Linked DNA regions of Caenorhabditis elegans. The protein of the gene in region 2 interacts with the protein of the main gene of each other region in a pairwise test. Each region holds a gene or a part of one and is shown on either strand. Other genes may lie near its edges.

Region 1 (6,452 bases), on a different chromosome or scaffold from region 2:
TGAGAGAAATAGAGAAGATTGTCAGATGATGTGATTGACATGGGGCAGCAGTGGAAGGGTGTCTTGTGAAAACCCGCAAAACTTGAGAACAGATTGACAATAAGGTTTGATAAATGACCAGGAACGTCTAGTACGAATCGGTTTTTTTTGGAATGAGCAATTTACAGTTGAAATGATTTTTGATGCATTTTCTTTCCGAAATATTAAAGATCCTCCATTTCAAAATTAGGAATTGGAAAGAAAAAGTGTTGCATAAGTGTTAAAATTTTGCAGAATGATCTTCACAAACCATATGTTAAACATGGAACGGGAAAATGTTTGGGGGCTCTCGGAGCAAGTAGTCATCATCCACTTGACATTGTTCTCTTGGATTGACACACTTCACACTCAATGATAGGTGAGTGTGGGAAGAGTAGAATAGAGATGGTTTTAGGGTGGAAGAAATGGTTTTTCGGAATTTTTACTCAAAAAAATTATGCTATCAATCTGGCAGCGTATTTTCCCAGTAAGTAGCGCAAACAATTTTTGCAATTAATAATTTAATAGTACTGTATTTTTTGCTCGTTTATTATATGAGACTCCTAAAACAATTGGCGTTTTCTAATACAATACGAGAATACGTTGCTGAGATAAAATGTAAGATCAAAATTAGATCAAGAAAACTGAAATGATATATTTATACTACCGTATATTTTCTATTAGTATTGCACATATAAGTTGTTATAACTACTTAGATTTCAAAGATTATATTTCGGCTCATTTAGGAGATAAAAAAAACAAAGTTCATTCTTTAAAAAATTCAGAAAATAGGCGGTAGGCGGTTAGGTTCGCCTGAACACGTACCTGCCTACTTGGCAAGCCCCAGAGAAAACGATAAAAATACGTGAGTTTGTGATAAAACATAATATCACTTTGGAATGTTTCACTGGCGGATTCGGAAGGAAAAGACTAGAGAAGGGAATCGAATCACCAAACAGACACTAATCATGTGTGCACACACGATGACCCCCCTCCCATCTCAGGTGTATGAGTCTCAGGCGTGTGTCTTCTCCTGTTTCGCTTTTGTTAACATTACGTAACAGGAGCACACAATTAGAGCATATGTGCAATTATGTTCACACCTTTTATATCGTATAAAACAATGGTGTCGAGTGAATAGAACACGGGGACAGGTCACCTTGATGTACTTAAATGGACTAGAAAATATTGGTTCGCATTGTTTTCAAACAAGAAATCAGGTATCTTGTCAAAAAAAAGTTCTAAACAAAATAAATAATCTATCCAAAAATATATTTCATAAGCTACAATATTCTAGAGTGATACATTGTACATTACTGAACTTTCTCCAATTACAGCAAAACTTCAATGCTTCTTGCCTGCCTGCCTAGAAGCCTACCTACGACCTATTGTTTGAATTTTGGCGTGAATTATGTTGTTTGTTGTTTGCACTGTTTAGTTTTATGTTGCTTGAACTCATTTAAGTTTCGAACATTGAATTCAAACGTGAAAAATGTTTTTGTGTAGTTATGAAGTAGGCACAAATTAGACGTAGGCCACCTTGAAGGCAGGCGCGAGCTTTTGTGCCTACATCTGATGTTTACTAGATTAATTTTGAAGTGCTTGAGTGACAATTTTAGAAAATATTCATTCATGTGCATATGCATCTTTAAAAATCGTATTAAAACTCGTAAAAAATTTTGCGACCAGAAAATAAAAATTAAAGAATTTTATAAAATGTGTTTTCTTTTTGGTTGCGACCTGCTATACTTCGTCTTGATCTTTGGTTGATCTGTCAAGGGATAAAATATTCAGATGATTGTAGTTGAAGCCTGTGATTATCTGAAACAAAAATCACCCAGTTTCATTCTTGAACAACTTTCAGTATCCTACCTCATAGCTTGATTTTCGAAAAATGAAGGGCTTATCCCACAACACTTTTGCTTCAACTTCTCGAAAATCTGGATTTCTTCTTGATTTATCATTATCAGAAAACCGAATGATCGTCAGTTTTTCAAAATTCGTTGCCACATAAAAATCCTTCTCATATATAAATTCCAAATTTGGACGACGCTGCATAAGTGGATCGAATTCACAGGAAAAATCAAATTTTGTGCTGAAATCCCACGTATCTGCCACATGAATGTACCCCGATCTATCGGCAGAGATGAGACGATGTCCATCGGCAGATATTCTGGAATTTATGAGATTTAGAATACCTTCAATTTAAAGTTTTGAAAATAAAGTACTTTAGTCCATAAATTTGTGATTTGTGAAGAGATTTCTCAGCAATTGCTCCACGTGTGCTCCGAATATCAAATAGTCCAATTGTTCCATCTCGTCGTCCTGCATATAAGTAATGATGTTTTGATGGATACCACTGTACAACATCAATTGGTTCATCATTCCAATATATCGATTGAGGTAGATCCATTCCGACTCTGAAATGATATTTATTTTGAAATATAAAATGTTAATTAATTTTAATTAAATTTTAAATTTTGAAATAATTCATAAAAATTTAAGACAAGAGGTTCGACCAGGGGAAATTGTAAGACCAAAGTTTTAGAAAGTTAGGCAGTCATAACAAAATATAGCTCTTGTTCAATACAAGATCCACTAGCCTTCAGGCACGTAGGCAGGCATTTCGTGGAACTTTTAAAGCTTACCTAAAATCTATAATTTTCATTGATCTCCCTCCATCTGCCACGGCAACTTTTGAATTTGTCATATTATACTCATTCCAATCAAAATAAACATCTCCTTCAAATTGTTTCCCATGAACCACTTTTTCCATGGTACTATCACAAACTCGCATCCAATTTGATGCTGTTGTAACCATGAAAAGGCGAAGATCGATTGGACACCATTTTATTGTTTTCAGAGATTGCTTCGCAAGTTTTCTGAAATCTTGATAAATTTTAGAATTATTGCGGTTGTTACATACAGAGTCATAGGTTTCTTCCACTTTTTACGATCCAAGTATTTATATTTGGCAACTGACACTGAACCACTATGAGATCCAAATAGTAGCCTGAAAAATCAATTTTTTTTAAACAAACTCCTAATTAAACCAACATTTGGTCACCATCATCTATATCAATCGCACTAATATCTTCTTGATGGCCTTTCCCCGTCTGATCACAACCCATAGGAATATGTTTTGTCCATCGAAAATTCAAAAGAGCCCGTGAAACTTGTTGTTCTTCGAAAACTCGGCGTTTTCTGCAAAAAATTTCAAATATAACTCAAATTTTAAAAAAAATTAGTACAGTAAGAAAATCTAGGCCTGTAAATTCATAAAAGTTTAAAGTCGTTGCGGGACCCGTCTGGTTTTCTGACTCTTGCGCCTTGAAAAAATTGCGGTACTGTCATTTATTTTCTTTATTTGCGCATTTTAACATTAAATTTCTCTATTTTTCTCGTTTGTTTTAAATTTTAATTATGCATTTGCACTTTTTTTTCAAAATTATTACGAAATTCACATAAAAACCGCAAAACTCACTTCAAATCACAGCTGAACATGTACTCCTCGTGACGAACAGTCATTTTCCTGTTGAGAAATTATAGAAACATGCGAATAAATATATTACGATTAAATAAAAAGCTCAAACGTTGCTGTTAATTTGAATATCCTCCTTAAAACAGCCAATGGCCTAGAGTCCACCAAACAAGTTCATTCTCGGCCGCACCGGTTTTCCGTTATTTACCGGGCACTGATTCATCTGTTTCCAGACCGGTTGCAAAATTAGTTTGATAAAAATTTCAATTTCCACAAGGAAATATTTAGTTCAGAAATAGTAACAAAAGTAAAAAAGGTGCAGAAGTGTAAACAAACGGGCGAGAACACGTGGTTTTATCGATTTTTGCTTTAAACATCTGCATTCCGTCCTCTAAACTTTATGTGTCATTTATTGGCATTCAATTTGATTTTCTTTCAGATTTTCAGCCATTATGGCTGCAATAATCAATCAACGCGTCGAACAGGGCGAATCAAGTATGGGAGGAGCCAAACCAGGTTGGTGAATTGAAAACGAACCATTTGATTTCCATAACCTGTGTAATTTTCGAATTTATTTTAATTTTCAGCTCTTCTTCACAGAATCACTGGCCACGTGGCTCGTATCAATGACGTCATTTTACTATCAAAAGACGAAGGAGTCTGGACTGCAAGTGATGATAGATCCGTTCGCCTGTACTTAAAAAGAGATAATGATCAATTTTGGCCGTCAATTCATCATTTCATGCCAGTTGCTCCAACAAGTCTTTATTACAGTGAAGAAACTTATAAGTTAGTTTAAAGTTTAAATCGTTTTATTTTTTAAATTTTTAATTTTTTTATTCAGGCTGCTCGTCGGACTTATCAATGGAAATGTCTATGAATTCAGTGTTGCCGATGACTTTAACAGTATGACAGAATCCCGAAAATGGACATGTCACGCTGGACCAATCTCTGGACTCGGCTTTGCACTCTCCTCCGAGCTCATTTTCAGCTGTTCTCGAGATAAATCTATCGTCTGGCATTGTTCAGAAAATTCAAATAAGATGGGAAGTTATCTTTTGGAAAATAGTTGTACAGCAATGGTCATTGATCTTCCATTTGTATTCGTTGGAGATCATGGTGGGCATGTCACTGTTCTTCGTATTGTCGATAATCAACCAAATCTTGTCAGCAAGCTTAGTGCACATACGAGTGAGTTTTTATCGTATTCTTTTTTTTTGAGTAAAATATTAATTCGAAATTTTAAATGCTATCGTGCCTAGGAAAAATATTTGTTAAGTATAACATTCCAGTATTTCCTGAAATTCCCCACAATCAATACAATTAGTAATTGTGGTTTGAATTAGTTCAATGATTTTTCAGATGCAATCACCTCGCTCACATGGGACGGAAATAAGAAAGTTTTGTATTCTGGAAGCAGTGATCATCTCATCATAATGTGGGATATCGGAGGAGGAAGAGGAGAAGCTTATGAGCTTAAGTGAGTGTATATTTCTGGAATTTACGTGATATTTCGAAAGTGTTGATGTTTTTCGAGCGCAAAAGTTGAATTATATTTAGTTGAAATAGATTTTTCCAAATTAAAAAATGTTTTTTTCAGCGGACACAATGGAAAAGTGACAACACTATGCGCAGCTCCAGCAGCCAAACGTCTGTTCTCGGCTGACGAACACGGAAAGCTCATGTGCTGGGACATGAATTGCAAGAGAGTTGAGACTCCTGAATGGAAAACTTCGGATTGCTGTCAGAAATGCAATCAACCGTTCTTCTGGAATCTTCAAGCAATGTGGCAGAGGAAAGTGGTCGGATTGAGACAACATCACTGCAGAACCTGTGGATCAGCAGTCTGTGGATCTTGCTGTGACAACTGGACCACCTATCCACCAATGGGATATGAGACGAAAATTCGCATTTGTAATGACTGCAATGCACGAATGAAAGATAATCCACAGAATTTCAAGTAAGTTGTAAAGCAAATGACTGATGAAACTTATTTTCAATTTTAGCCTTACTCCACTTGCAATTCCACATGAAATCCATACTGGAATCACTGCTATGCATCTCCAGGAAACTCTCGGACTTCTAGTTACCAGTGGACAGAATCGTGTGATTATGATTTGGGATGTTCGAAGTGTTTGCTCTGCCCCTTCTGGATCACAATAAACAATTGCTTCTACTTCTCGAATTTCTCATAATTCTTTGTATTTCATCTAATTTATTTCCTCTCCTTTCTATTTTGTATATTCACTCTCAAAATGCCCATCCTTCCCCAAGACCAATTGTTGTCAAATCAAGACCTTCTAAAACTTACCAATATTTCCCGATACCCCTGACAGGTTGTCCTGAATAGTGATTGTGATTCTTACTTTTCTTCTAATCCCGATAATTTCCTAGTTTTTCGACTGTAAAATTGTATTTTTACAACAAAGTTTGAAAAAAAATCTTTTTTTTTGAAGTTTTTGGACAGAACGACTAGAAATTATTTCAAAAGAATGCATGCCGGGAGAGTAGGTGAGGTTGGTGACACTGGATGAAGGAGAAAGCTCACAGGAAGTACACAAAATAGCTGAGTTTTTGATGTTTATAAGAACGCTACGCGAAATTATGACTACGGGGAAAATTAAAAAATTGAGGAGAAATTATCAACATCCGCAAGCTCCTGCGCTGCTGTTTTGAGGGAAACTTCTTTCGGATAGGCACACGGATTGTGACCTCATAATACCAGTTTTAAGGCCTTCCCAGCCATCCACGGGCCGCAGTTCTCCGTCGTCGACTCGATTTTGAATCTAAAAATTTGAAAATTACATCATAAAATTGAAACATTTTCAAAAAAACCTCTTGTGCAATCATATGAAAAGCTTCATTAACATTGTCTCCTGTTCTCGACGACGTCTCGATAAACTTCATTTTATGGTACTTGGCAAAGTACTCGCCTTCCTCATAGTTTACCTGA
Region 2 (7,261 bases):
TTTTCAGAAGATAAATTTTGTTGAATAGTGAGTGAAAAATATTTTTCCACATTTTACCAGTTTCAAGTTTTCGGATATTTTCATGTTTCGCCAAGTTACAGACCGTTTTTCAAAAAAAATCCAATTTCGCTTATAAAAATCTTCATATTCAACGTATCGACTTGAAATTTTGAGAAATGATCACTTTTTTGATGTCTCTACAATGTCCTAAAAAATCTTTCAAAAAACACTGTCCATCTCCAAAATCGTCCTTCGCTCCGAAAAATGAAATCGGACTTTTGCTTTTCGAGAAATGTGCGAAAAAATCAAATTGCGATTTTTGGGTCGAAAAAAATATTTTTAGAAAGCTTAGAACACGCTATTTTCATGTTTATTTTGAGTGATTTCTTCTCTTAAACGACCTAAAAGTTAAACAAAAATAACATAATTTTTATTCTCACGTGAAATTTTTTAAATTTGCATTAAAACAATTGAAACACTGAGCAAATTACCAAATAATTACACGTGAGAATAAAAATTATGTTATTTTTGTTTAGTTTTTAGGTCGTTTAAGAGAAGAAATCACTCAAAATAAACATGAAATTCGTAAATAGCGTGGTCTCAGCTTTCTAAAAATATTTTTTTCGACCCAAAAATCGCAATTTGATTTTTTCGCACATTTCTCGAAAAGCAAAAGTCCGATTTCATTTTTCGGAGCGAAGGACGATTTTGGAGATGGACAGTGTTTTTTGAAAGATTTTTTAGGACATTGTAGAGACATCAAAAAAGTGATCATTTCTCAAAATTTCAAGTCGATACGTTGAATATGAAGATTTTTATAAGGTAAAATGTGGAAAATTATTTTTCACTCACTATTCAAGAAAATTTATCTTCTGAAATTCAATAAAAGTTGAGTTATAAAGGGTACAACAAAAGACTTCTTAAAATTTTTTGTGAATTTTGATAAAATGGCTTTGACTCCGTGTAACTCTACAAAAAGTTGGTTTTTTTTTGAGATACGCCAGTTTGAAAATACTCAGTTTAGAGAGTTTTGGAGGTTATTTCATTTTTAGATCGACCCACAGCCACTAAGCCACTTTGATTTTTTCGCACATTTCTCGAAAAGCAAAAGTCCGATTTCATTTTTCGGAGCGAAGGACGATTTTGGAGATGGACAGTGTTTTTTGAAAGATTTTTTAGGACATTGTAGAGACATCAAAAAAGTGATCATTTCTCAAAATTTCAAGTCGATACGTTGAATATGAAGATTTTTATAAGCGAAATTGGATTTTTTTTGAAAAACGGTCTGTAACTTGGCGAAACATGAAAATATCCGAAAACTTGAAACTGGTAAAATGTGGAAAAATATTTTTCACTCACTATTCAACAAAATTTATCTTCTGAAAATTAATGAAAGTTGAGTTATAAAGGGTACAACAAAAGACTTCTTAAAATTTTTTTGAAAATTGGTAAAATGGCTTTGACTCCGTGTAACTCTACAAAAAGTTGGTGTATTGAAATAAAAACTATTGAATTAGAAAGAAAAAATATTTCTGATCATTTTGTTAGTTGGACGTTTGTTATCCAGATGTGTATTTTTTGAGATACGCCAGTTTGAAAATACTCAGTTTAGAGAGTTTTGGAGGTTATTTCATTTTTAGATCGAAAGCCACTATCAACTCCAGACTTTTTATTTCAAATTTTTAATTGTTTTTTTGTTGCTATTGTTGCTATTAATGTTGATGGATAATGAATGTTGCCCAGCCTTTGCGTGTCCTATCAAAATTAATATAAATTAAAACATGACATCTACTATTAATTGTTGCCCGAAATGTTGTGTACAGATTGAAAGATTGTAAATATATATACCCTTTGAATGAATGAACAAATTGAGTAGATGTATCTTTGATGTATTCTTGGAATACGGTCCTTGTACGTGCCTCTTGACTGATGAAGAAAACGAGTAGACAATGAGCAAAGGGTAGGCAATGAGAAAGAGTAGGCAATGAGAACAGGAAGGCAATGAGCACAGGTAGTCAATGATTTTGGAGTCAATGAGTATTTGCCCCGAAAACCTGAAATGCTCGGAAAATGTCCTTTCGGCCGAAAACAGGAAAATCCGAAAAAAAGGAAATGTAAAAGGCAACGAATTTTAATATTTATTTAATAAAATTGAAAGTATTCCAAACTTCCAAACGTTTTTCAACTACTTGATATTCTACTACAGTATCTGCTTGGCCTGTTTTCGGTCGAAAGGACAGTTTCCGAGCATTTCAGGTTTTCGGAATGATGGCCGAAAGGTTATTTGGCTGATTGTAGAAAATATGGGTAACAAAATTGTTTTATTAAACATAGATGCTAATATTTTCAGTCAATCTATTAACACATATTTAGTTTTTCCTTTAGTGTTTTGTCAAGTCACTCAAATTGATATCCATTGTGTGATTGTAGGCTCTGGAACGGTAGTTCTTCTGTAAAATACTGAAAACAAGCAAGAATTACCCATCAATCACAAGGAAATCCTTAACATAAACAGTCACATCATCTCCAGTTCGTTTTTCTGTACAATTGTGATAGATAGTGAAGTAAATTTCATAATCATTCTGAAACGACACAATTAAAATTGGTTTTAAAGAACATGTAACAGTTCTGAGTATTTTGAACACATAGACAAAACATGTGGGTACTTTGAAATTAATTAAAATTCCATTAATTACGTTCCAAATCATCTCAACCGTTACTCCTCCTATAAGTCACAGCAAAATTTTAGAATCACAACAATACCTACATCAAATAGTCCATCCCCATTGTCTTCTGCGTCAACTTTATAAAAGAAACCAGATTTGTCTTTAATAAATTGTGCTACCTCTCCTATCATATCATTTGGTGTTCTGACATATTTTCAATAGATTTTCATAAAAATTTATATTCAAACTAACGCTTTATCATGTTCCCATACTTGCAGCTTCTCGACAAATGAATCTTTCATGGTGGCATTACATGTGATTGTTCCAGAGAAATTGAATTTTGTAGAACTGGCCGAATAGACAACGTATGGGAAGAAAATACAAAAAAGAATGCTTAGGAATACACTTGAGAATCCCGTCATTTTGTATATGATGTAGAAACAAAACTTTAGAAGAATCTTTTATACGGGGAAAAGATGACTGAGATTGGAAAATAAAATGATGCGTTCACATGATGATTTCCACAACATTTCAGAAAATCACATTTCAAGAACATTGACAACAAAACAAAACAAAGGCAGAGATTGCATGATTGGATGGGATTCGCAAAAATTGTAGCTTTCTAACTTGTTAGGCGTAAACATGGATCGACCCGCGACCCTTTTCAGAGTGTCAGCAGATTGCGAGGAACTTCACTTTGAGTCACAGGTTCATCAGGGACTCGCAATTGAAACTATATTATCCAAGTGTTCATCTGTTTTTTTAACGATTTGTTTTGGGCCGACCAATAGGCACAGAGTTTAGAAAGAACGTACAAGAAATATAAACATAATATTCAAAGTTTTTGATAATTTTGAAATCTTGCTCGTAGATACTTTTAATTGTGATTACTTATTGAACACTTACACTTACGAACACTACACATGTCAGAAATTCCAGTTTATAATGTTAAAAAATGTATTAACAATGTCGTAATAGGATGAAAACAACTGTAAAACGGTTTAAACTTGTTACATTAGGGGGAGTGTGCAATAAAATAAAGACTTTCTGAATGCTTGAATATGTTTATTATATATTTCATCAAGAGAGACATTTATTTTCTTCCCCAACCAAGTGGAGTTGGTGGACGATTGATATATAGTATGCACAGATAGTATGCTGTGCAACTGCAGATGGAATGAAATTGAACAAATTTGGCTCTGGAGCTTGTGGAATTGGATTGAAGATTGATGGTTCAATGTGATCAACTGGTTGAAAAGCCATTGACCATGGATAGAATTGCTGATTGAATAATATAATATTATTTGAGTTTGATCATTTAAAACTTACCGCAGAAACTGAGCAAATTGTGAAGACAAGGAAGATATAGGCATTGAATATTTGCATTTTCAAAGACTTTGCTAATGATACTACACAAAACGCGTTCTTTTATATTCCCAGTTTGATGAGGTCCCTCCGAAAAAACCACTGCAAAATTTGATTTCTTCTCAAAAAAATCAAAGGGGTGTAGTTAAAATGTTTAGAGTTTTCTCGATTGTCGGAGGGGTCAGAATATTTTATGAAACCTGTTATGTTTTTGAACACTACAATCGGAGGGAGCTCGTAAATGTTTTCATATAAATTTACCATTTTTCGGTGAAGTCCAAAAAGCGCATCTCATAATGCAACTGTTCACCGCCTGCATCTTCCTTGCTTTCGCCATTTTCTCGGTTTCCGCGGTAGGCTGATTTCAAACTTTCAAGCAAAAGAAACGTATAATACTTTACAGCAATTCATTCCAACTAATCAAATTCTACCATCACTGTTCAACCCAGCTAGAAGAGCTCCTCAGCCAAGTTCATTCAATTTCATCCCATCTGCAAATGCAAGACATACCATCTATCGTCCACCGACTCCACTTGGATGGGGAAGAAAATGAATGTTTCTCTTGTTGGAGTTGGAACTAATAATAAAGATTATTGAGCATTTAGAAAGTGTTTGAATTATTCCAGTTTGCGAGAATCCTTGAAATAACCCAGCGAAACGAACAGCAATCATACTAAAGTACTCCAATAACCCAGTATTTGCTCAAAAAGTTGATAGTTACGATAGTTTTTAAGTAATCACAGAAGCCTCTCTTCGGACTAACCACAACAAAATATTACTCTTACAACAAGATGCTCACTCTTCTGAAACTACAGTAGAAAAGAGCACTTAGTTTTTCCAGGTTTTTTGGCGACCGAGTCTAGCAGAATTTGCAGATTACATTCCTGATCAAAAAGAGCAAGTAAAAACTTTTATTTCAAAAACCCCCAAGTATTCTTTCTACTGTGCTGGTGGAGCTGCAACTGGATCCTGGGCTGGTGGTGCAGTGGCGGCTGGGTCTTGTGCTGGAGCTCCAGATTGTCCCTTCTTGAACTCATAAGCTTCAATTCCGAGTTGTCCAACAGCGGCGAGCACGTGGATGAGCACGAAAAGTGAGAAGAATGCATGCCCAGAAACACACAAGAAGACGAAGATACCAGCAAGAGCTGGGACAAGAACCAATGCGGCAGACTTTCCACGAACTTCATTGTCAGACGAGGTAAGAACCTTGTTGATCTCCTCGCGACCATCAATGTTGAGAGCAATGTTGTGCGATGAGACGGCAACTGCTCCACCGAGGAAGATGAAGTAGAATAGCTTGGCAAGGAAATTGCAATCGCCGAGGGAACCGAACAGAACCATCAGGAGCTGCAAATATTTCATGATGTTCTATACATTCTGGAAAACGGGCAAAAGACCAAGAGCCAGGACAAGTCTTTAGAGGCCAGCCCTTAAAAACCAGGACCAGTCCTCCGAGGACCACGAACGGCACAGAACGAACCTCAAATGAAGCACACACGATGACGGCACCACGAGCGTAGAGCACGTACTTATTGAACTCGTACGGTGGGATTTGATCCATTGCAGAGAAGTAGTCGAGTGAGTAGAGAATCGGTGATTCGAGCAGAGACTGATTTGAATTACACATTTTCCGATCTTTTATACGGACGGATCTAGGGCAGATTGACCGTGGAGATAAAGAAAGGTCGAGGTTGAAGCGGAGAAAAAACAACCTTTATAAAAAAGTTTCTGGATGTTTTTTGGAATTATTTTTGAAATAAAGTAAAACATCACGGTCATCGAAAAAGAAATTAAAGAATTTCTAGTTCATCCGTTTCATGTAATTAAACAAGCTTTTTTAGTCACTTGAGGGAAGCCTTGTTCAATTATGAATATACCGATAACCGCGTGTTTTTAGCCAGCTGAATGCTTTCTAGTTGGCCTGGAGAATATATATAGGCCAAATCCAATAACGTTTGCGGAAAAAAAACATTTGAGAAAACCAAAACCTAATTTACCCTAATTTATAAAACCATAATTTATTTTGAAGTTAGTTTGCTGCAGGTGCGATAGCTTTACCATCCCTCACTCTGACTGCTTGACTTTTTGCACACATTAGAAAAAAAGGGGGTTAGGGTAGCTTTACCAAGGCGGCAAAGACAAAAATTGACATACTTGGTAAGCACTGAGTGTCTCTGCGATGCTTATATCCAGCGAGATAGATAGAAACATTATACAAAATCAATAGAATAGTCTTGAACAATGTAGAAAACCTAATTTAAAAATGAATGAGACTGATTTCATAGCCACAATGACTGAAAATAGAAAGACTCTTCCATTTTCAAGCACTTGCAAGTTGCAGGTAAGCTTATGGTCTGTTGTCACGTGACACCTAAGTTTTAATTGCCAAAAATAAATTCACAAAGATTCATTTACTAGTTTAATGACAGTTTCGTAGACAGATAAAACCGATCCAGTTCACAAAGAACCTATTTTCAGAATTTAGATAATTTTCACTTTTTCGAATTTTTGAAAATTCCCCGAAATTTTTTTAAATTTTGCTTTTTTTATAATTCTTGCAGTAATAGTTATGTTTTGATCATTTTCATATTATAGTGAATTTTCAACTCAAACGAATCACTTTGAAACAAGTTATTGTCAAAAAACTAAAATTGGATAGAATTATGGCCGGCACTGTAGAAGGCCTAGGGACTCTTGAAAATTTGTCAACCCCGCAGAAAACAATACTCTAAAAAAGTCCAAACATTCCATGTTCTCGCGCAGGAAAGTTGTTAATATAAATTATTCTTCACTAAAACCGATCATTTGTTTTGAGGGTGCTTTAGAGACGTTTTAAATATTTTTTAATTTACTGTCAAACAAGTACCCAATTTTTGCCACTAGGACTATCTATCCCTATGAATTGATCAAATTTTTTAAACGGGTAAATATAAATTTATTGAAAGTTATTTTTGATTTTTATTTCCAATATACAATTGTTATTACAACATTGGCAACTTGAAACAGAATAAGACACATTAGATCAGTTTTATCCAGAATTTTGAGCCAGAGCAACTGATTTTCATTAATGCGAGACATTTCTTGCAGAGTGTCACGAACAAGAAACGCAGTCTAAAATATATCAATTAATGTTCAAATCATGGTGGTTTACCTTATGTAATGACGACTTCAGAAGAGAAACAGGCGCAATGATGTTCTCGGGAACATCCATACTGGATACAGAACTGGTT

What was found. The genes of interacting proteins can lie anywhere in the genome.
Region 1: the proteins of F17E9.5 (region 2) and wdfy-2 interact in a two-hybrid assay, tested with the Caenorhabditis elegans proteins (one large-scale study listed by BioGRID).

Annotation. Positions count from the first base shown.
Region 1 is NC_003280.10:9,315,927-9,322,378, forward strand, and holds wdfy-2 (WD repeat and FYVE domain-containing protein 2), read left to right. Parts: upstream 1-3,938; 5' UTR 3,939-3,951; coding exon 3,952-4,015; intron 4,016-4,086; coding exon 4,087-4,288; intron 4,289-4,343; coding exon 4,344-4,690; intron 4,691-4,861; coding exon 4,862-4,979; intron 4,980-5,099; coding exon 5,100-5,459; intron 5,460-5,505; coding exon 5,506-5,662; 3' UTR 5,663-5,952; downstream 5,953-6,452. Other genes in the region: csa-1 (WD_REPEATS_REGION domain-containing protein), read right to left, coding at 1,762-1,839, 1,891-2,191, 2,247-2,438, 2,667-2,900, 2,945-3,031, 3,076-3,222, 3,503-3,546; Ras-related protein rab-39, read right to left, coding at 6,142-6,285, 6,335-6,448. UniProt on the Caenorhabditis elegans protein: Plays a role in coelomocyte endocytosis.
Region 2 is NC_003282.8:8,344,214-8,351,474, reverse strand, and holds F17E9.5 (DUF7087 domain-containing protein), read right to left. Parts: upstream 5,658-7,261; 5' UTR 5,593-5,657; coding exon 5,512-5,592; intron 5,379-5,511; coding exon 4,971-5,378; 3' UTR 4,929-4,970; downstream 1-4,928. Other genes in the region: F17E9.4 (TransThyretin-Related family domain), read right to left, coding at 2,382-2,433, 2,482-2,582, 2,768-2,870, 2,919-3,088; F17E9.15 (uncharacterized protein), read right to left, coding at 3,747-3,947, 3,996-4,052; F17E9.18 (Neuropeptide-Like Protein), read left to right, coding at 4,328-4,384, 4,435-4,584; lgc-5 (Neurotransmitter-gated ion-channel ligand-binding domain-containing protein), read right to left, coding at 6,990-7,142, 7,183-7,261.